Linked DNA regions of Mus musculus. The protein of the gene in region 1 purifies or fractionates together with the protein of each later gene. This does not show direct contact. Links are inferred from orthologs where the notes say so. Each region holds a gene or a part of one and is shown on either strand. Other genes may lie near its edges.

The links.
Region 2: the proteins of Twf2 (region 1) and Capzb purify together in Homo sapiens (co-immunoprecipitation; 3 studies listed by BioGRID and IntAct, with this or other methods). This does not show direct contact. The link is inferred for Mus musculus from reciprocal best matches to the Homo sapiens genes TWF2 and CAPZB.

Annotation. Positions count from the first base shown.
Region 1 is NC_000075.6:106,196,809-106,209,112, reverse strand, and holds the start of Twf2 (twinfilin-2), read right to left. Parts: upstream 6,006-12,304; 5' UTR 5,854-6,005; coding exon 5,829-5,853; intron 2,225-5,828; coding exon 2,147-2,224; intron 1-2,146. Other genes in the region: Ppm1m (protein phosphatase 1M), read left to right, coding at 9,920-10,143, 10,889-11,012, 11,117-11,371, 11,774-11,886, 12,225-12,304. UniProt on the Homo sapiens protein: Actin-binding protein involved in motile and morphological processes. Inhibits actin polymerization, likely by sequestering G-actin. By capping the barbed ends of filaments, it also regulates motility.
Region 2 is NC_000070.6:139,250,240-139,261,930, forward strand, and holds part of Capzb (F-actin-capping protein subunit beta), read left to right. Parts: intron 1-7,021; coding exon 7,022-7,143; intron 7,144-11,691. UniProt on the Homo sapiens protein: F-actin-capping proteins bind in a Ca(2+)-independent manner to the fast growing ends of actin filaments (barbed end) thereby blocking the exchange of subunits at these ends.

The DNA.
Region 1 (12,304 bases):
ACCTGTGTCAGGCAGCTCACAACTGCCTGTGACTCCAGTACCAATAATGTCCTCTCTCGGCCTCCGTAAGTCCTACATACACAAGCACGTACCCCCACACAGACACAGATGACACACACATAGTTTTCTGTTGTGGTGGTTGTCTAAAAGCAAATTTATAATTTAATTTCTTTAGAAAAATCAGGAGTGCCGGGCATGGTGGCACACACCTTTAATCCCAGCACTCGGGAGGCAGAGGCAAGTAGATTTCTGAGTTCGAGGCCAGCCTGGTCTACAGAGTGAGTTCCAGGACAACCAGGGCTATACAGAGAAACCCTGTCTTGAAAAACAAAACAAAAGAAAACAAAACAAAAAACGAAACAAAACAAAACAAAAATCAGGAGCTCCACCCACATTCATCTAGACCATAGGCCCCTACCCCAGGCATTCCTGGGTTCCCCAACGCTTGGAATGCAGTACTAGAGTGAGTCTACTTAGAGATCCCTTACGCTTCTGGGAACCACCTACGAGGGGTACCTTTCCTGGGAGGTTAACGGGCAGGGCTGAAATGGGAGGCCAATGAGCTCAACTGTCTCTTTAAGGGTGGGGAGTCCCAGGAGACCTCTATTTATCACCTCCCATAATGACCCCTACCCAGCCTCTGAGGACATCTGGATTTGAGGAGCCTGGACAAGGCCCAGCTTAGCTGTGGCCTGAAAGCCTGTGGTGGATTCTGAGTCTGGCAGGGCCTGCTAAGTAAACATATCACTAGGCTCATTCAGGGAGTCCAGTGCCAAAGGGCTCGTGACAGCGTGACTACTGAGAAGGCTGAAGGACCCTTGGAGGGTCTGGCCCACACCTACTCCCAGACTCTGTACCACTCCCTGCTGAGGCCGTCACTGGCAGAGGGGAGAGGGACCCCTTGTCTTCCCATCATTCAGCCTCAGACGGATCCCCTGCCTCCTTGAATAGTTCTACTTCAAGCCCTGGCTCAAGCCCCACACCCTCAGACTACCTGGTAAGAACGCAGGGGCAGCTCAAGGCCCTGTCAAGCATGGTGTCACTCTAGCCTGCTCTGAGAATGAGCAAGACATAGCTTTTTCTTCCCATTCTGGGGACATCTACTATGGGAAGGTCCATGGTATCTCAGTCCTCCTACAGCCAGCAGCCAAGCCAGGTCCAGCCAGGCCCAATCTGCTGACCACACACACACAACATATACACATACAACACACACACACTCACCTCATACCACATGCATACCCACCACGCACACACACCACATACATACACTCACCACACACACATATACCACACACATACAAAACTCACCACACACCACATATACACACTCACCACACACATACTCACCTCCCCACACACCACACACATACAACACACATACCACATACACACACTCACCACATATACCACACACATACAAAACTCACTACACACCACATATACACACTCACCATACACACATACTCACCTCCCCACACACCACACACATACAACACACACACCACATACACACACACATACACACCACACACACATACCACACACATACATCATACTCACCACACACCACATATACACATACCAAACACACATACCTCCCCACACACCACACACATACATGACACACATACCACACCATACACACACATACCACACATATACAACACACTCACCACACACCACATATACACATACTCACCACACACACTCACCTCCCCATACACCACACACATACATGACACACATACCACACCACATACACACACACTCACCACACACATAGAACACACACACCACATACACATACCACCCACCCCCCAGACACAAAACATACATATAGTAGGGCTCACTGGACCCTTACCACATATCTAGCCCGATACTCTGACAAGGCTCATCTCAAACGCCACACAGCCTCAGGCTGAGGTTAGACAGAACTGCAGGAAGGACTCTGTACAACAGGGTGCCCTCTACCCCCACTGCAGGACCCCAATGAGACCTCTCTGTGAAAGGCCTCATTACATTCTCAGATGCAGAGACTGAGGTCTGGGAGGGGCTGAAAGGAAGCTGATACCCAGCTCTCCTATCCCCAGAAGTGACTGGGTTCGGCCTCCATTCCATGCCCCAGCCCGTGGGGGACACTCACCGTCCTCAATGATGACTTTGATAAGTCGGATGGAGCCAGCCCGGGCCTTGGCAAAGAATTCCTTTAGCTCTTCAGTGGCTATAAGCACAAGAAACATAGTTGTTGTTGGTGAGCAAGCAGGCAGAGTGGGCAGGGAAGAGTTTGGGTCTGCTGGTGTCCTGTGGGGTCTGGTGGTAGCCAGGCTGGGAAGTGGGTTAAATATGGTTTCCCCATGTGACTGGAACCTGAGATGGCCACTGAACATAAGCTCCCAAATTTAGCTAGCAGGAGTGGCAGGCGGTGGCCTGCTGGCCGGGATAGCTCTGATGACAGGAAGGACAGCCCACTTGAAGATGGACCAGTTTCTAAGACAAGACAAGCTTGCCAGAATGAAGGGCACTCACTTGTCCCTGGACACTAGGATGATCTAGCAGTGACTCAACACCCACTCAGCTGGTCAATCTAAGTGGACTGAGTCTCATCTAGAGAGTCAAACAAAGACACACATACACACCCACACATACAAGCATGCACAAGTGTATACACACACACACACATGCACAGATACAATCCTGGATTGCCAACACAAATACAGGCAGCAGACATAGCTGCAAAGTATGACTACACCATGTGTACAGGCAAGATAAACAAAATATAGAGACATAAATTTGCACGTCACATGAATGTACTCGTAGTTCAAGCCCCCAGTCAGTCTGTACCAAAACAGGGGCTACCAGCCCCAACACAGCCCTATCAAGAGGCAAGACCGCCTCAGACCTCAGGCAGTAAGGAAGGCTACCAGGAGGAGGAGTGGTGCTGAGGAAGAAGCCTCCATCTTGGAATTTGGGCATCAGAGATGGAAGGTGACTAATGACCAAGGACACGGTGCCAAGGTGAGGACCATGGCCACAGCTCGAGGACCATGAGTCATCTCAGCTCTCCTAATGGTGATAGAGAGGGAAGACACAGTCCAAGTGTGTAAGGGACCTGCTTGGAGCCTCTGGGTGAGTGTGACCTTGGGGCTGCCAGGGGTCAGAAGAACCCCGGCAAAAACACAGTTGGAGAATTGAGATCACAGGGTATTTATAGGGCTTGGATTGGGCAGCTGATGGGCAGCTTAGGGGCGGGGTGGAGGGGCTTTAGGTAAACAAACTCTTAGTCTGTCCTCAGGTGCTCCCCGCTCCCTGCAGAGTGACCTTATGCTTGAACCTTAGGCACGAAGGTCACTGTGTGGCCAGGGGCCTAGCAGCTTAACAATTCCTTGGGGACAGAAGCATGGCTTGGTACCGTACACAAGGGGACGTAGCCCCACTGGGTATGCACAAATGATTTTTTTGTTTTGTTTTGGTTTTTTTTTTTATTTTTTTGAGACAGGGTTTCTCTGTGTAGCCCTGGCTGTCCTGGAACACACTCTGTAGTCCAGGCTGGCCTTGAACTCAGAAATCCGCCTGCCTCTGCCTCCCGAGTGCTGGGATCAAAGGCATGCACCACCACTGCTCGGCATGCACAACTGATTAACTCTATGAGTAGAAGCCTGAAGCTTTAAGCCTGATCTTTGGGGCCCCAGCTCCCCTTAGCTGTGTGACCCCTGACCTCTCTGAACCTGAACCTCATCTATAAAACACAGCTAATTCCCTCAAACTCAGAGGCCTGTGGTGTGTGGGAGAAAGAGCTGAGGAACTGGACTTTGCTGACATTTTTAAAAAAATCTTAAGGGAGCTGTGTTTTACTGATCCTCCTACCTGCCTAGACCTTGAGAGAGAGAGAGAGAGAGAGAGAGAGAGAGAGAGAGAGAGAGAGAGAGGCTAAGAAGCTCCCCAGAGGAAGAGGCAGACAAGCCCCTTCTACTGTTACCAGGGCATACTGAAAAGCCAGCAGGGAAAGTGACATCTCTTCCTACCCCACCCCAATGTCTCCCCAGTCACCATCAATAATCTAGAGGCCAGGCCTGGGACATCTGAGCCTCCTTCATCAAAGATTCATGCCTCCCCGCCCCCACCTTGCCCACCTCCAACTCTAGCAAGCCTCAGGTTACTGTCCCTCTTGGGCCCCACTCTGAGGTCAGCAGGCCTACACCTATGGCCTGGCCAAGGCTGGCACCTGATCCTCCATGGTGGTCTTTCTTGCCACTTCCAGCAGGCACAAAAGAAGGTGCACATCCTCATAGGCAGGAGACTGGGAGGCTCCCCTGGGCAGGCCTGTCTCACTTCATAGGGAATGAAGGGATAGGGCAGAGCCTTGGCCACAGGATCTGTAAGCAGTGTGTGTGTGTGTGTGTGTGTGTGTGTGTAAAACTTCGTAGCACCTCCTCCCTCTTGGAGATAGCAGCTCAGACCAGACAAAGAGGAAGGAAGGGGCAGGCCAGGCAGCAGTTTACCCTGACAGTTCCCCTCTTTGGGGCTGACTCAAGAAACCTGCTCCTCCATCTCTAGGAGAGGCTGGCCCACCTGTGGGTGGCCAGGCTTGATCCAGGTCCCTGCATGCTCAGGACAAACAGGATGGGGATGGGCTAGGGCAGGGAAAGTCTCTTGGCTTGTCCATCCACCAAGCAGCCACAACCGCAGGCAGGGATTCCGGCAGTCAGGCTGGTCGATGGTGGTAGCCCTGGTCAGGGAATCATGATGTGGTGGTAGGAGTGGCTGATGGCCAAACCAACAAGCTGTCTGGGCAAGCAGCCTGGCCTTCCCTACTGGCCAGGGAAGCAGCCCTTCCAGGCCCATAACAAATGGGGACAAAATACCTGGCTCCCAGCTATTGCTTCTTTCTTAAGTCTCTCCAAGGAGGAAACTGGGGCCCTGGAGGGGGGCTATGGGTGTCACGCCCTGGGCTGTAGAAGCTTCCTGTAGATGAGGGTGGAGGCAGGAGCTCCCCTATAAAGTCTGAATCCTGACCCGTTCCCCTGCTTCCAGCTTGAAGTTGGGACTTTGCAGGCCTGGCTGGAGCAGCGATAGAGAGATCACAATGGAAAAGGGAAGAAGTCAGAGGCCAAGGTCAGATGTGCAGTTCTCCCCATTCTACTTAAGAAGGAGGGCTCCATTCCAGCTTCTGTCCAACCTAGTCTGCAAGAGTCTAGGGGTCCTGAAAGGAGAAAAGGTCAGGCTACCCTCTCCACACATACACATAAGCCCATGTCAGTCATAAGACACCCATGCAAACACCCATGCTAACACACACATACTGAGATGTGCCTGAACTGTGCACACATGCAGATACCCACAGTTTCTGTGCGTGCAGCCAGGAAACACTGATGTCTGAGATGGAACCTAGAGTGTCCAAAACCAGCCACTAGTGCATGCACACGAAGAAGCCTGGACAGGCATAACCAAGTCTCATCCAGATGTGCACATACTGGACTGTATACAGAGAACATGTGTACACCCATGTACACTTTTCCAGATGTGCACATCCGGGTACACCCCACCTCCAGAAAAGAACAAAAATACCCAGACCAGTATACACAGGCACATCCGCCCCCAGTTGGGTACACAAGATACTTCCACCCTCGCTGTGTGCATCCATGTGCACCCACTCCCAGCTATGTACAACAGTCTGTTCTGCCCCAAGACGTGTCCATCCCAGGGACTCGCGGTTGCAAAAGAGAACAGGAAGCTTCCCAGGAGGGTACAAGGAAGAGAAGGATGAAGGGACCTAGCGCGGAGAACCAGCGCGGCGGAGCCCCTGTCCGCCCTCCATCCGCCCTCACCGTGGATGCCGGTCTGGTGCGCCATGGCTCAGCTTTCGGCTCGCCCGTGCCGTCGGAGTTCTCCTCTTGGTCCTGGCCCGGCTCGACTCGGCTCGCCTGGACCCAGAGCTCCGGAGGATGTGGCGACGGCACCGAGCCTCGCGCAGCTTCCCGGGCGGTGCCGCAGGACCCGCCCCCAGCGCGCCCCGCCCCCGGAGGGCGAGGCCGGCAGAGGCGGGCATTGGTGCCGCGCGTGCGCGCAGCGGGCGCCGGGGTCCGGATGGCCCAGTGCCCGGCCGCTACCACCTTCATGGCCAAGAAGGGGCCCCAAGGGATTGTGTGGGTGGTCCCTTGTAGGCCAGGATCCTGGAGGTCTGTGGGCGGATCCGCACTTGGGCGTGGGAGGGGCTGTGAGCTTGCCGCGGAGGAGGTTTGAGAGTGAGGGCCGATCCAGGCGTACCCGTTTGTGATGGTGAGGTGATCTCAGTGTAGGTGGGCACGCGCTCGTGTGTGGTCGTGAGTGTGAGTGTGTGTGTGTGTATGTGTGTGTGTGTGTGTGTGTGTGTGTGTGTGTGTGTGTGTGTGTGTGTGTGTGTGTGTGTGTGTGTACTGATTTCCTACCAGTCATCAGGTGCACGGTGTCTGGAGCCCAACGCTGAGAAAGTGAATGGCCATAGGAGGAAATGAATTTTGGAAGGAATACGGTAGGAGAGACCGAGGTGACCTAACAAGGCTGAGGAAAGTTTTCCAAAAAGACGGTGCATGTGCTAAGTGTGACCCAGTGGTGGAAGGACTGGAAGTCAACCTGAGGAACTTCCCAATTCCTAATGACCTTGCCTCTATTCCCAGCAGCCTTTCCTACTGCTCTTACAGACTAACGGCCGAATAGCAGCTAGTACTCTTTAACCTCAGAAACATCTCTCCACCCTGGACCTTGTTATTAAAAAATAGATAAACGGGACTGGACAGATGGCTCAGTGGTCAAGAGCATTAGCTGCTTTTGCATAGGACTCAAGTTTGGTTCCCAGCACCCACATGACACAACTGTTCCTTCTTCTGGCCTCCTGGGATTAGACACGGACATTGTGCACATAGATACATGCGGGCCAAACACCCAGACACACACCAAAATTTTTTTTTTACTGAAATAAATAAAAACTTTAAAAAATAGATAACTTAATGAGAGATGGCTCAGTCAGTAAAGTGCTGAGTTAGCATATAATTTCAGATTCCCGGCAACAGAATGAAGACACTTGGCTTTCCCCTTGGACTGTGCAGGGAGGCTGGGGACCTTGGGAGAGGGAGTTTGAGGAGACAGGCCAATACCTATTGGGGCTTATTTGCTTATTAGTCAGCCAACCCAGCCAAATGGAGAGAGAGAGAGAGAGAGAGAGAGAGAGAGAGAGAGAGAGAGAGAGAGAGAGAGAGAGAGAGAGAGAGAGAGAGAAAGCGCAATAGAGGCTGACTGGCTGGCATCCACCTCTGGTTTCCACATTGTACTCTAACATACACAGTGTATGTATATACTACACACACACACCCCAAATCTGTGAGAGAACTCAAGTTCAAATGGCATCCTTGGGCTGGCTCAGCTGATAGATCATTCTAACCTGCGTGACATGTGTGAAGTACTAGGTTTGATCCTTAGCACTACATAAATCAGGTATGTTGGCAAATAACTATAATCCAGAACTAAGGAAGCAAAGGCCTTCAAGGCCATCCTGGTCTACATGGTTAGATTTTTGTCTCATAAGTAAATAGGAAGGAAGAAAGAAAGAAAGAAAGGGGGGGGTGTTTCAGGATTAGCCTGGGCTAAGGAAGGAAGGAAGAAAGAAAGAAAGAAGGAAGGGAGAGAGAGAGAGAGAGAGAGAGAGAGAGAGAGAGAGAGAGAGAGAGAGAGAGAGAGGGAGGTGGGGGTTTCAGGATTAGCCTGGGCTACATAGTGAGTTCCTGGCCAGCCTGGACTACATGGGACTTTGTCAACAAATGAAGAGGTTAAAAAAAGGGGGCTGTCAAGATGGCTCAGTGGTTAAGAGCACCGACTGCTCTTCTGAAGGTCCTGAGTTCAAATCCCAGCAACCACATGGTGGCTCACAACCATCTGTAATGAGATCTGATGCCCTCTTCTGGAATATCTGAAGACAGCTACAGTGTACATACATATAATTTATAAATAAATAAATAAATAAATAAACAAATAAATAAATAAATAAATCTTTTAAAAAAAAAAGAGGTTTAAAAAAAAAGGTGGTGAGGTAGAAAACTGGATAAAGGAAACAGGCCACCCACAAAGATGGATGCTGTCCCACAAGTCGATGAGGAGCTGCTTGCCTGGTCCGTACTCATTAAATACATGAAAACTGAGCTGTATCTGGAATCTTACTTACTGTAGGCAAACATTTTAAAACTTTGACAAGAATTGTGATTGTCAAGGCTGGGTAAATAGGCAATGCAAGCTTATGTAAAACAGTGTGGTGATGGTCTTGATTGTAAAATTAATTATCCAGGTGTGGAACCTTTGAGCTTGTCTGTGAGGGCATTTCCCCAAAAAGTTTAAGAAGGAGGGAAGACCAGGCCTGAATGTGAGCAGCACCCGCTGTGGGCTGGGGTCTGAACACACCTCTTCCTGGTGGCAGACTCTCATGACCAGCTGCCTAGCATCCCCGATTCTCTTGCTGCTGCTGTGATGGAGGAAGCTACTCCTTCTGTAGTTGCTTTTTGCAGATACTTTGTTATAGCAAGAACTAAAGTAACTAAGGAAGATTTATCATATGTATCCTTCTCCTCCTTAGTTGGAAGCAGGGGTTGGGAGTGGGGAGTGTCTCAGACCTTGTCCCCATTCACAGCTGGGCCAGGCACTATCAGAACTACTATTACATCCGGGCTCAGCAGTCCCTCTGTTAACACTGTCCTCCTACTCCCAGTGTGTGGCTGTTACTGGGTGGGCTCAGTAGGGTAGCCCCTACCCCAGTTACTGGGGTGCAGCTGTTTCCCAAGAGCCTTCCTCTTTGGGCAGGAGGAACTGCTGGCAAAACAGGGCTAACTGACTAAAGGAAGAGAGGCCTAGTGAGTACTAGGCTGGGCTTAGGAGCAGAGTCAACGGTAGGGAACCCCTCATCCATCCATCCTTAGGCCTTAGAGACTTTAAATTGGTTTCCTGGAGGAAAAAAGAGGAAGCGAAATGGCTTGAGGGGTGGTCTGACTCAACTACACTGTCATACTGGGAACCCTGGGCGTCTAACACTTCCCCTCTGTGGGTCTGAGTCCTCCCTTATGAAGTGGAAATTGAGGCCTTGCAGAGGGGCACCTAGACTTAGGCGACAGAAAGTGACAGGCGCTCTCCCCCAATAGTTATAGCTATCTAGGGGTAAAGGGACATCCTGAGCCAGAGCGATGACATGGTGAGCGCCTTCTCAAAACAAAAGAGGTTGGTGAAAATTTCCACTTCCCTCAGTCCAAGGCTGCACCTTAGACCAGCAGGAGAAAGGAGCTACACTCCCTCTTAAATTCCCATAGGTTCCTCTTGTCCGTCACTCACACTCCAGGGAGGCACTTGCGCAGGCGAGAAGCCATCTTAACTGTAGGGGCAGACATTTGGGAGCGGGCTTCTGAAGATGAGGTCGAGGGTGAATAGAACTCTGGAGCACTCTGAGCCCGCTCTTACACCTCCAAGGACATACTGTCCCCGTCCTCCCCTTGCGGAAGACCGTCGCTAGCAGGGCAAGGCTCTGTTGTAAGCGCCTGCCCAGCACCCATCCTGGATGACTCTCCACGGTTCCTAGAGTAGAGGGGAAGGGCTTCCACTCTCAGAGGATCGAGTCCCACAGGTGCGGGTGAGCCTTTGTGCCTTTTCAGTGGTACTCTGACGCAAGCAGGCGTCTTCACTTCGCTAGGCCTCGGTTATCCTGCCTGTAAAGTGGGATATGTGACCACATCTCCTTCTTACAGAAGGCCAAAGAAACTGGCCGCACACACAGGGGCCGATGGGCGGGATGGGGCGTGGCCTCTTTCACCCCCAGGCCCCACCCCCAGGCTCGCTTCCTCCCAGTGGCGGGCGGGCGGGCGGGACCCTGGTGTCCCGCCGTGCGCGGGCAGCCCCCGGCCGCCACGCAATGTCCGCCGGCTGGTTCCGGCGCCGCTTCCTACCCGGGGGTCCACTTCCAGAGCCGCGGCCAGCCGGGCCGCGCTCCAGCCCGGTGCCCTATCACCGGCCCCGCTTTCTACGCGGCTCCGGCTCCAGCCCGGGCGCCACTGACGCCTCGCGCCGCCCCGATGCCCGGCCGGTGCGCAGCCCAGCACGGGGCCGCACACTGCCTTGGAACGCAGGCTACGCAGAGTGAGTGTCCCTGCCCCCCCCCCCCCCCCCGCGTTCCCTCCAGACCCTCTGCCTGATCCCGTCTGGTTCTGTGCTGACCTGGAAAACCGACGGGGTGTGCACATCCCCGCTAACCTTCTTCTTGTCTTCAACCTTGACAGCATTTCTCCTTTTTCTCACTTTGGCATTTTCTTTTGAGAAGGTTGGAGGTCCCCGGGAGGGCTCGCACCCGGCTGGACCCTCCTTTCTTCTGGCCTCTGCAGATGTATGTCCCACCTCGCACCTCACTTAGGGTTTGGCCTATGCTCTGTGGGATAAGGTAGGGACTGAGGTGGGACTTCCCAAACCCTGGGCCAGTACAGTGACTCTAAAAGGGGCAAGCCAGCGAACAGTTAGAAAACTTGCAGAACAAGCATGAGGCTCTGGAGTTGGGATCCCCAGCAACCTTGTTAAAAAGCTGGGAGTGCCAGTCGGGGCCTGAAATCCTAGCACTCCGGAGGCAGATGCAGGAAGACTCCCGGACTTGTTGGCCAGAAATTCTAGCTGAATCAATGAGCCCTGATTTAGTAAGAGACCAACCTGTCTCAAAAACTAAGGAGGAGGGCAAGCCACTTCTGGCCTTTGTACACACACACACACACACACACACACACACAAAGTTGTCCAAGTGTGTCAGGGCGCAGCACCAAGAAGCAGTTGTCCCAAGTGGAGTCTCTGTGCCCACAATGACATAGATGAGACATCATGGTTGATTTCGTGGCCTTAGGGTTATCAATGCAGAAAAATCTGAATTCAACGAAGACCAGGCTGCTTGCGGGAAGCTATGCATCCGGCGATGTGAGTTTGGGATCGAAGAACATCAAGAGTGGCTGACGGTGTGCCCAGAGGAGGTGAGCACTGCCTTGTCTTACTGTCTCATGTCCTAGTTCGGGCTGGGCCAGGGGGACATCTGGGGAAGCTTGGTGGTGCCTGACACAGAGCTCTTCCTATGCAGTTCCTGACGGGTCACTACTGGGCACTGTTTGATGGGCATGGTGGCCCTGCTGCAGCTATCTTGGCTGCCAACACCCTGCACTCTTGCCTTCGCCGGCAGCTGGAGGCTGTGGTTGAAGGCATGATAGCCCCTCAGCCCCCCATGCACCTCAGTGGCCGCTGTGTCTGCCCCAGTGACCCCCAGTTCGTGGAGGAAAAGGGGATCCAGGCAGAAGACTTGGTGATCGGGGCTCTGGAGAACGCCTTCCAGGAATGTGTGAGTGGGGCCTATGGGGAGAAGGGACATGTCCCCCCAGGGACTTAAAGAAGTCCAGGTATAAGGGCACACCATAGTCACCATTCCTTGGACTGTGGAGAAGTTGCTGATTCCTTCCTTCCTGGTAACAGCCCCATGGTCTTCAGCTTACCCCTCCCATGTATCTAGTTCCTGCTGTGTGCTAACTGCTCACCTGTACATGCCATTGGCCCTCAGTGCAGGCAGTGGTTTCTCTTCCTGTTTTGAATTACACTTCCCTTGTGCAATTCTCTTTACGAGGTATTCAAGAGTTAATAGCCAAGCTTTTTGAGCTGAGATGCTATAGGCCTGCTTGTGGGAATGCCATTGTAAGGGGACTGGAAGTGGTGGCGTGGTAGCTCTACCAACCTTGGTTTGCTCCAGGATGATGTGATTGGGAGAGAGCTGGAGGCCTCAGGACAGGTGGGTGGCTGTACAGCCCTGGTGGCGGTGTTCCTGCAAGGGAAGCTGTATGTGGCCAATGCTGGGGACAGCAGGTGAGTGGACCATTGGAGGGCAGGCAGGGCTGTGGGCAGGAGGGTACCAGGGGGAGTTGAGACAATAAAAGGAGGGTTAGAAATGAGGAGGACTGGCTGGCCAAGATGGATTTGTACTTGGCATAAGCCAACAGTAAGGGTGCCATCTTTAGCAGGGGCCATCGGTGCAATGCTAAAGAGCTGTTCTTAAGACTCTATAGGTCTTAAAAGTCCTGAAAGGATTTGAATCAGGGATCACAGTGACTAGAATTGGCCTCTGGTTGGAGAAAGAGAAAGGTGACCATGGGTGAGTATGGCAGTTCCTTCATAAAGCTCTTCTCTCCCTCTAATCTATTTAGGGCCATCTTGGTGCGGAGACATGAGATACGGCAGCTGAGTTCTGAGTTCACCCCAGAAACAGAGCGGCAGCGGATCCAGC
Region 2 (11,691 bases), on another chromosome or scaffold:
CAAGGAATGTGGGCTGGGCAGCTGGGGGAGGCCGTTGTTAGAGGAATGTGGAGCTGGGATGCTTGAAGGAGCCAGGGCTTGCCCATCTCCCACTTCCCTTTAAAGTCCATGTGGGGCTGAAGAGACAGACGGCTCAGTTGTTAGGAGTACTAGTTGCTCTTTCAGAGGACCTGGGTTCGTCTCAGGACTCACATGGTAGTTCACAACTGCCTGTAACTCCCGTTCCAGGGAACCTGATGCCTTCTTCTGGCCTCTGCGGGCACTGTACATATATGGCACACAGACACTTATGAAGACAAAACACCCATACATATTAAGAAGTGTTTGCCAGGAGAGGTGCCACATGTTTTTAACAGCACCTGGGAGGCAGCCTAGTCACAGAGTTCCAAGACAGCCAAGGCTATATAGTGAGCATGTGTCAAAGGAAGGTCAGAGTACTTACCTGGTTAGTTGGTTAGTGTGCATAAAGTCTTGGGTTGGGTGTTATGCTGCATGCCCATAATCAGAATTCAGGACAAAGAAGCACGAGGTGCACATGTTCGGAGTTCTCCTTGGCTACATAGGAAGTTTGAGGCGGACCTGGGCTACATGAGGCCCTGTTTGCTTTGTAGTGATTAGGTGCTAGCTGCTTAGCACTGGCGTTGATGAACGGGTCTGATTTGAACTTGGAACTGGGAAAAGCTGGTGTGACTGTGACACTCCCTCCTGGCCCTCGGCATGTGCAGTTTGTACTTGGTGAGGGGCAGGGCCTCCACAGTCTGTAACTCACAGAAACTGCTTTATACAGAGTGCGTGCAGTGAGCTTTTGAGAACCCTGTCCTGGGTGACTGTAGAGATAAAGTTATCTAATCCTTGGCCATGAAATGGTCAAGGTCTAAAACTGAGCCAGAGCTTCCCGATTGCCTGTGCTGGTGGAGCCCGAAGATAGACAAAAGGGTGTGGGGCCACACCCCCTCTCCCCGAGCCAGAATCACTAAGGTGCACCATGAGTGTAACTTACCAGCCTTGGAAAACGTAAGCCCGTCCTGATCCATTCATTTCTGTTATAAGGAGCCGGATCTCCATGGCTTGTCCAGAGCTCTGCATCAGTGCTGGGCATGTCGTCTCCATTTGCTCTGGGCCCTCAGTCACCAGAGTACTAGCCCACTATGGCAGCCATCTAGGAGCAAGACTATCTTGCCAGCTGTCTCAAAGCCAGGTTCGTGGCTCACTTAGCATTTTGAAGTTGGGAAGGGTACGCTTGACAGGTACATATAATGGTATTAGTAAGGACCCTACAGGGCAGGGTATTCAAATGAGGTTTATAGTATGTCTTTCTGCTTAGGAATCTGATGTTCTGTGAAGGCCTGAGGTGGGGCCTGGAGGAGCTGGGACCACACCCTGTTATGTGTGCTGGGATTGGGCACAGAGAGCAGGCCCTGCTCAGTGGGTAGTGGGTAAACACAGACACTGCTGTTCAGTCCCCTTCCTCCCCTGTCCTCCCAGCTCAGCTGGGTTGGGACAGCTTGCTTTCTTGGCCTTCTGGGTCTTGCTGTGTGCCTTGCAGGGCTGCTAGCTGCAGAGCTGTGTGGTGCCCCCTCCTGTTTTCCTTACCATTCCTGTCATTCTTGTGCTGGCCCCCTTGCCCCAGCCTCACCTAGTGTCTTCAGGTTTCTTTCCTGCTCTGGCAGTCTGGAGATGTCCTGCTAGTGTGCGTCTTCCTGTCTCTAGTCTCTTCCATGGTTCCAAACCAGTTCCTAGGTTAGGAGCCTGACAGAGGCAGAGCAGAGTTGGGACCTGTGTCTGATTTCTCGTTGTGTGCTGTGTTCCAGCGCTGGCATGTGCACCTCTAGGACACTCTTGCTGCTTTCATTGTTTCAGTTCTTAAAAGCATAACTTCAGGGCCTTGGGAGAACAGAAGAATCGGGTTGTAAGCAGAGCCCCCTGCTGGCCATCGAGGTCTCTGGCACCCAACCCTTTCGTCTGGAGTGGGGCAAGCCAGGACGCTCCCCAGCCACGGGCTCCCCATCACTCATGTGCATGTGCACCCGAGTGGACAGGGTCTGCTTTCGATCCTTATCTCTCCGGTGGCGGGCTCCCAGCCAGCAGGCAGATCAAAAGATGGAATGTGTTCATTTGGCCATTTTTTTAAAAAAAATCAAGGTCCAAAGGTTCACTTCTGAAAGGCGAGGGCGCCGGGAATTAGATTATCCGGAGAGCTGAACCACTCCAGCTTTTGTGCCTTTTTTTTTTTTTTAAGGGTTCATCTCAAGTTTCTTTTTCTGGTTGAACAATTTTTTTCAACATTAATAACTAATGGAGAAGAGGAAGAGGCAAAGTGGAACCATATGACAGCGCACACGGCCTTGCCTGTGGCCGGAAGCTTCTGATTTGTGTCCGCTTTCATGCGATCAGCTGTTGGGTTAGATAGTAGGAAAACACGCCATTTGGGCAAGAGCAGTGCTGCAATTTACCTCTCAACCGAGCTGAACTGTGTCCCTGTCCCTTCCTTAGACGCTGGCTTGTGTGACTTGGGTCAGCTTGTTTCTCAGGCCCCGTGTGCCTCTTCTTTAAAGTAGAGGTCTCTGGGCCACCAGGATGGCTCAGTGCATAAAAGCGTTGCCACCGAGACTGAAGACCTGAGTTTGATTCCCAGGTTCCACGTAGTGGAAGGAGAGAACCAACTCCCACAAGTGGTGTCTGACCTCAGTGTCTGCACTATGGCACGGGCACTTTCTTAAAAAATGAATGAGTGAGTGGGTGGGTGGGTGAGTGAGTGCGTGAGTGAATGAATATAGTCTTAAAGAAAAAAATAGTCTCTGTGAAAACCTGTCCTGGGGATAAAGGAGTGATGGCAATAGATTGGAACCCATGGTGACAGAACTCGTCTTTTCTATGGTTTATCGTCACTGTTGTCTGGTTTTTTCCATGTTGTCTCTGTGGGTCTTGAACTCAGTGGAGTCAAATGATCCTTCTGAGTCAGCCTCCTGGGTAGTTTGGACTACAGACATGTGCCTGTCCTGCCTCCCATTAAAGCTGCCTTTGCTGTGCTTGGACTGAACCCAAACCCAGGTGAGAATGCCCAGGGCGGAGGCAGGGCCTGTCCCAACAGACGTATAGCGTTACTATTCCAAGTCACTGGAAATTAAGTTGAACCCTCAGCAGCCCGGTTTGGCCAGCACCATTGCTGTTAGATGGACGTTCCACACAAAAGCTGATGGGGGTAGGTCACGTAGGCAGTGTGGAGCGCAGCCAAACACAGTCTATGCTGGCTCTGCTCCTCACAGTGCTGGAGCACGGAGTAGACTCAGGTGTTTGGACCTGGTCATTCAGCTCATTGATCACTGCAGATTCTGACACCCCGAGAGTGTGGCACAGCCAGGGGCAGGAAGAGCTGAGGCGCAGATTTAGATAACTGACTGGCTCACAGAGCCATTGTTTTCCAGCATGCTCTCAGGCAAAAGACCTCAATGCCTGCTCCCATGGGACCCAAGCATAGATTGAGACCCTCAGCAGCTGATGGGACATGGTGCTTGACTGGGGTCCCCTCATGGCTCCCTGGGCACAGTCTCCCGAGTCTCTGCTGGTATTAGGACAGCCAGTTCAGGAGCAATCAGGGTCCTCTGCTGTCCATTGGTGGAACTCCACGATGCCTGGAGAGAAGTGGGAGTCAGGGACAGGTCTGAAGGAGACTCGGGGAATATGGCAGAGTGTTAGATTGAACAACTAAAAACAGCTATCCTGTGTAACATTAGAGGGGTGGTCAAACTGGAACCGTCTTCCTTGTGACTCAAAATTCAGTTTAACTCAGCAGCCTATAGTTTCTGCACCAACTCTCAATGGGGAGGGTTTTTATACAAACTAGCATGTAGAGGAGATGGCTAGTAGTCCAGTGTTGAGAAGGTGGATAGAGGACAGGATGAGGGGCAGGACTGACACATGGTACACGAATGTACACGCATGTGCATGCGCACACCCCATGTGCCTAGGGCAGCTGCTCCCACACTGTATAGCCACACTGTATAGTCTGTACTTGTTTCCAGTGACAGCACAGTGTCATTCTAGACTAGGTTGTCTTTTATCAGAAGAGGGATTGATGCAAACAGAACTTGAAAATATGGCCCAACTTAAGAACTTGTCTTTTAGGGACCTGAGCAGGCAGAGCCAACTAGCTGTCTGTGACCCATCCTAGGTACTTGTGTGCTCGGGCACATCCTATGTCCTGCACGATCTCCATAGTTTTCCACTGTGTGCTGCCATGGTAAGGGCTCAGTTGAGTGTATGTTCTTCTGTGGTTGTTTGGAGGCGTGGGCTTGCAGAAGTCTGGGATTAGCTCTTTAGGGGTGGCTAGTCTCTGGCATAGTTTGCCTGGTTCTGTCCTTCTGTCATTACTGTGACTCTTCAGGCTGGGCTTGGGGCTTTGGTTTGGTAGTGGTGTTATTTGTTCGTTTTGCTGGTAACTTGAGACACTGAGAATTGAATTGAGGACCTCATGTGCAGTAGGCAAGCACTCTACCACTGAACTATCTTCCCGGATGTCTGTTTTCTCATAACACAAGGTCTTAAGTTACTCAAGTAGGCTTGAAACTCACTGTACAACCCAGCCAGTCTTTGAACTTAGGATCCTCCTGCTTCAGCCTCCCAAATATTTAGGACTGTGCCACCAGGCCTGGTCATACTGATGTGGAATTCATGGTCTTAAATCCTTCTTCTCCCTCAGCCTCCTAAACAGCCAGGATTACAAACGTACATTCCTGTGCCAGCTAGGAATGGAGCCTCTTTCCTTGCAGCTCGCATCGTCTTGCCAGCCTGGCTGCTAAAGGAGATCTGTCTTCCCAAGCATCCTTCAGCATCCGCTGTCTGAAGCAGCAAGGTGTATTGAGATACAGAGAAGGGCAGCGGGGCCAGAGAAATGGCTCAGCGTTAAGAGCACTGACTGCTCTTCTGAAGGTCCTGAGTTCAAATTCCAGCAACCACATGGTGGCTCACAACCATCTGTAATGAGATCTGATGCCCTCTTCTGGGGTCTCTGAAGACAGCGACAGTGTATTTACATATAACAAATAAATAAATCTTTTAAGAAAAAAAAGAAGAAGAAGAGGGCAGCATTGCTACCCAGACAGTGAGGACAGACAAAGAGGACTAGGAGGCTCAAGACAGGACTTGACAATCTGTAAGGAGACCCCAGCAGCAGCCCAGTAGCACAGGTGGGTTCTTAGTGGCAGGCCACAGCACGAAGGGCAGCATGAAGGTGCCAGGGTCATTTCACCGCGCCCATAAAATTCAGCCAGTGCCTCATGCCTGGCTGCCTCATGGAAGCCGTGAAACTTTGCTTCTACAACTAGGGTGTCCCAGGTGGAGGGCTCTAGCTATAACTAAGCTGCAGTGGGGGCTGGGAGGAGCTTTGTACCGTTACTGCTCGCTGTCCTTAGGGACCAGAGTGACAGGGTGAAGGAGTTTGGGAGTCACCTAGCCTAGGGTTGGATTTCTCTATTCACTGCTGGCTGTTGGTGTGACCCTTGGACAGCTTAATGATTCTGGGTCTTAACTCTGTAATCTGTAAATTAAGGTAACAGCTTCCCATTTTGTGCCCTGGTAGGAGCACTTAGGTAAAAAGCATGCTTTGTGATACCTGGTTCAACATCCAAACAGGCACTTAGAGGTGATAGAGAGAGATGTCACCAAAGCTAACTTTGAAAATGACCTTGCCTGTTGGTTGGGTGAATGCACAGGTGCGCGTGAACCATGTTCTGAAAACAAGCATGTCGTGCTTTGGCTGGAGGTATATGCTTCTCCTTGGGGAGCGGTGTATGTATAAGAGTTGGACCATCCAATGGAGCAAGAGGCACTTTGTATGGTAGGCTGTGATGTGCCCTAAGACAGTAGCATGCAGCATCAGAACCTGGTTGTCCTAGTAGTTCTGGCTTTTGGGAGGGACACAGGACCTGCGCTGCATGGCCCCCTCTGTTAGCAGCCCCTTGTCTGGTAAAAGATGAAGCAGGGGTCCCTGTAAACCCAGGCCCTGAGATGAGAAAGTCAGGATGTGGAAACAGTGTAGAAGTGACTCGAACAGAAAGGCATCCACTTATGCAAGGGCTGCCATCCCTTCCTGGAATGTTTTCATGGAGACTGATGTTTGTGTTGGGAGGAGGCAGCCCTGGCCTGCTTCCTCAAAGCCACACCCGGGTTTGGGAATTGTGACTTGTTCTAGCCCACCTGGGCCACAAGCTGTTTTCCCGGCACCTTCTGCTATACAGACCAGGTAAAGCTGCAGGTGAGCTGATTACTCTGCTGTAGAAAGCATATGGACATCTACCTCTGTAGTATATACAGCCGGCTATGGACAGCCTGGATCCACCTCTGTAGTATATACAGCCGGCTATGGACAGCCTGGATCCACCTCTGTAGTATATACATCCGGCTATGGACAGCCTGGATCCACTTCTGTAGTATATATAGCCACCTATGGACAGCCTGGATCCACCTCTGTAGTATATACAACCACCTATGGACAGCCTGGATCCACCTCTATAGTATATACAACCACCTATGGACAGCCTGGATCCACCTCTGTAGTATATACAGCCACCTATGGACAACCTGGTATCGCTTAGCCAGAGGCCTGGAAAGAGCTGGAAACTCCACCCAGCATGGGAGTCTGCGGAGTTCTCCAGAGCCCCGTTCTTCTTTGAGTTCTTCACATTCCTGTATATTTGAAGTGTTTGCCTTCTTCTCAGAGCCTGAGCTGGTATTTTGTCCACCAGAGACCAATACCCAGCACACACCCCCTCATACTCAAAGACCACCCTGGTGGCCAGGTAATTAAAGCCACACCCGGGTTTGGAAAGAAGGCTGCCTCGGAAATCACGTCCCACAACAACGCACGACCAGGTTCCTTTACAGAGAGCCGTGGTTGGGCATATGTGGAGAGGAGCAGACAGATTCCAAATTTTGGCAGAGCACTACAAGCCAGATGTTAACCTGGAGCTGAATTGGAGTTGTTACTTTAATGACATTTCTCCCTGTCCTCTCTTTCTGCCAGGTCCCCAGTCTGTGTGAAGATCTCCTGTCATCTGTTGACCAGCCCCTGAAAATTGCCAGAGACAAGGTGGTGGGCAAGGATTACCTTTTGTGTGACTACAACAGAGACGGGGACTCCTATAGGTGAGCTCTCACACACAGGCTCACCTCATAGCATGGGGCACGTGTAGCCCACCCACACGTCTGTTTGTCCTTCTCTCTCCTCTTCTCAGCTGTCCATCTGATCCACTAACAGGCTGTGTAGGCGCCTCCCTTGAGCTTCGGAGAGAGGGCCTTGGTGCCTTACAGTCCAATGGAAGAGCCGTGTTGTTTCAGGGCCAACTGCCCCGATAGGGTGGCATGTCTGTCCTTCCTTCCTTCCCTTCTCCCTTCCTTTGCTATTACCATGTGGCCAACTTGACATTGGTCCCTGCACGGGAAAACACAGGCAGTAGCTGATGAGCAGCTGTACTGTGATGCACACAGCCAGTTCAGAGCTGGCTGGTGGCCTTAGGGGAGCTGAGAAGAATCTATGCTCCGGGGAGATGGTCCTGGCTTAGATGTTTTTAATGAACTGTTTTGAGATGGTCTCAAAATATATCCCTTGCTGGCCTGGAACTCCCTATGTAGACCAGGCTGACCTCAAACTCACAGAAGTCCTCGTGCCTGTCTCCTGAGTGCTGGGATTAGAGACATGGACCAACATACTTGGGATCATCGCTCTTCAAACTTCCAAGTGTGAGAATCCCAGACCGTTCCAGGCTTTCCCTGGGGATGAGCACACTGGGTCTGGGCTTATTAGAGGCCACACTACCAGTGTTCTTTTTGAGAGGGTTTTGGAGACACAGGGACAGTGACCAGGAAGAGCAGTGTGGGCTGTAAACCAGCCCTGCTCCTCCTAGGGACATGGAGACTTTGACAGTCCCTTGTCATCTCTGGTCTACAAAATAGAAACAGTAGTGATCGTTCAGCCAGCAAAGCCTGCACAAGCATCCTGAGTGCTACCTGTGTGGCAGGCACTGCTCCCAGCTCTGTTCCTGGAGTCTGTTTTGTGAGGAATTCGAACGGCTAGTAACGTTAGGCACGTGCATCAGTGATGGAGATTACAAACATATTGCTAAAGAGAACAGAGCAAGAGGGGAGAGGCAGGGTGGGTAGCCAGTGGGGCCTTCTAGATCACAACTGTGCTCTAGAATGAGTTGTTGAGTCTGCACAGGTTAGGAGCTTCCTGGGTCCCCGGCCCTGGGTGGAGGCAAGCTCGCTCGCAGGTATCCAGGAGGCTGTGAAGGTAAAAGAAAGGTCAGAAGCACAGCGGGGCCAGCACAATGGGAGCCTTGAAGCTCCACCTCAAGTATGGGGTGGCACAGAGCTTGTCCTTGGTTTGAAACGAAGAGAAAGAAAACTAGTGGTGGTGATGGCCCCTCCTACTCCATAGGTTAGTTAGGGAATGACACACCTGAGCATGGGACTGAAATTAGTGGAGAGACTGAGTACTGATGGGTAGAGCTTGGAAGCAGAGTGACAGCTGGGAGGTGTGGGCACTGTCTGTGGAAAGAAGAATCTGGAGTGGGAATGTGAAATGCCTTCTGGGTGGGTGTGGAAGTGCCGTGCAGGTGTGACATGGTAGATCTGAGAGCTGGGCATCTGGGTAGCACTGCAGGGCCCCACTGTGAAGCTGAGGCCCCAGCTCAGGACAGAACTGGTCCCCAGCACATGTACCAGGGCAACCCTTGAGGAGACTTCCTTGAAGGTGATAAGCATGGAGCAGGCCAGGGAGCACATGAGCACAGTGAAAGCCCTCACAGTCGTGCGTGGGCTCGGTTCAGGCTTCCTGGGAAAGATACTGCTGAGACCAGTCTCAGTGGCCGCTGGTTCTGCTTTTTTTATTTTTAAACCTGAAAGCTGAAAGTGAGAAAACTGTGTGCAGGAAGGCAGGGCAGGGCAGGGCAGGGCAGGGCACAGCTTGTGCACTCCTCCCTCAAGGGCTTCAGCCCTTCCAGAGCACCCTGCAGGCCCCACCCCTACTCCCCAGACACCAGAGGGCTCTGGGGATGGGAGCCTCACAGGGGAGCAGCGGCAGTAAGGACAAAGCTTGACTCCCCTCTCCCCTTCTGGATCTGAAACTTCAAGGTCCTCTGATTTTCTCCACACATTTCCATCCTGTGTTTGATCGTTCGCTTAAATAAGATCCTTATGGTGAGGCCGCTGCCAGCAGCGCTGCTTGAACCCTGTTAGCTGAAACAAGAAGCCTTCTGGGGAAATGAAAGGCCTGACTTTTGAAATCCAAGCATTCCTGTCCATCTGTCTTTTCTCAAATGGCCTCCATTTAAGCTTTTAAATGTGTTCTGAGTGCCCCTTCCACTAAGAATATTCTGGGTAATGTTATGATTTTTCCCCTAGCTACAATTACCCTGGCTCCAGGCCTAACGTCTTGAAATGCCGTTGTAGTCTGTGAGGCAAGAGGAATGTGTAACACACTTACAGACTTCTTAGACTTCAGGCCCCGATCTGCATGGTGATGGGTGGTTGCGTCCTAGCACATTGCTTTGTTTTTAAACCGCATTTTGTGTGTGTCTGTCTGTCTATGTGTCTGCCGCTTATAGAGGTTAGGTCCTGAAGGAATCAGTCCTTCCTTCCACCGTGTAGGCCCTGGAGATTGAGCTCAGGTTCTCGGGCCTGGCAGCAGGCACCTTTGCCTGGGTCTCCCATGCCATGTGAAAGAGATGGCGTGGAGAGGGGGCTTGCCCTGCTTACAAGTATGCCAGAAGGTTCTCAGAAGATGCAGGGATGGGGAGGTGGGGTCCAGGTCACAGTTTGGGGTTCTTGCCCACTGTCCCACAGTGAAAGATCCAAACCTCACTGACTTGTGAGTCGTGGTGACCACCTGCACCTGTCAGCTGGCCTGGGCGATCTGAGGCAAGAAGCCTCTGAGTTTCTCTCCTTCCTTCCTGTCCTCAGCCGCCTCCTCCCTTTGTCCATCATTTGTGTTTTGGAGATAGGGTCTAGTTACATAGTTCTGGCTGAACTTGACTCCTGTACCTGCCACACAACGGCAAGGACTACAAGCACACGCTGCCTCCCAAGCTCCACTTTACTCCCTGTCTGCAAGACCCTGCAAAGTCTGTCAGAGTCCCATGAAGGCAGACATCCCACGGGCCCTCTCTGTCAAAGACTCAAGCTAGTGCTGGTCTTGGGGTGTTGTCCCCCCAACTCTGTTGGGGAGTGGTGGGCGGGCTTGAACTTGGAACGGAGGTTTCTTGTTTTGTTTGGGAATTGAGTCTAGGCACCTGAACATGGACAGGTTTCTAAAGGCCCTGCTTAGGCTAGAGAGATGGCTCAGTGGTTAAGAGCACTGACTGCTCTTCCAGAGGTCCTGAGTTCAAATCCCAGCAACCACATAGTGGCTCACAACCATCTCTAATGTGCTCCAATGTCCTCTTCTGGTGTATCTGAAGACAGTGACAGTGTACTCTTATACATAAAATAAATAATTTATTTTTTAAAAGGCCCTGCTCTCTGTGGATAGGTGAATTGCATCCTGGAGCCCTCAAGGGAGTATACACAACAGCTCGGCCCCCCTCTAACACGCCCTGGACCGTCCCTGAGAACACTGTACCTCTAGAGCCACCCCTAAAACACTTCCACCTTTCATGTGACTCACGGCTAGACTGGGTACCAGAAAGATATATCTGTGTGGACAAAGTGGGGGACCAAGGGACAGCAAGCATGTTTTTCCTCTCTTAATGTTAATCCCAGATTGAAAAGGTGTGAGGCTTAATGATTGCTGGGGAAGGCAGTATTCGGCCCTGTGGTAGCAACGCAAGGGTGTAAGTAAGGCTTCTCTTCAGTTGATCACATCTCCCCTCCCGCCTCCGTAGACTCCCTCACTTGTTGGAAATTTCACTTGATGTGTGTGGGTGTGTTGCCTGCATGTGAGTGCCTCTGGAGACCAGAAGAGGATGGTGGGTCCATGGAACTGGAGCTCCAGGTTGGGAGCTGCCAAGTGGGTGCTGGAATCAATCCTGGGTCCTCTGGAAGGACAGCAGTGCTCTCAGCGACTGAGCGAGCTCTCCAGCCTCCCCTAACCTCACTTGTTAGGTCTTTCTGAAGATGCAGCCTGAGACCTCCACCCTTGGGAACAAACAAGGAAACCTTGTAAAAGACCTCTCGTTGCCCTCGGTGACTGAAAGTTCTCCTGGGACGGCGAAAAGCGTTTTTAAAATGCTGCTGGTCTTGGGGTTTGCTTGACTTACCAGGCTTCGTGTGTGCTTAGCCCAGTGTACTGGGAAGCAGCTGTGTTCCCTAAGGAGCTAGGCACTCCATTTCCAGAGTGTCTAGGCTTACTGCCTGCTTCTGTAACTTATAGTCGTCTTCTTAATACTTATTGTTTGAGGGCTGAGGAGCCTCCAGCAAATCAGGGAGGTGAGGGGTACCAGCTGACCACTTTGGTGAGCACAGAGAAATCAGGGAAACGCTGGGACTTGTGGCCAAGGCTCCTGCCCTTCTGTTGGTTCCTGGAAATAGTACATAGTAGCGAATGGTAGCCTTGTTTTCCACCGGAGGAAGTGAGGCTTGGAGCTAAGGTGTTTGCTGTATTAGTCAGTCTGCCGGCTTCTGAACCTTTGCTTTGTAAGACTCTCCAAAAAGCCTCCTGGTGACTTGGCCCCTGAACCTCAGGCAGCTGAGCTGGGG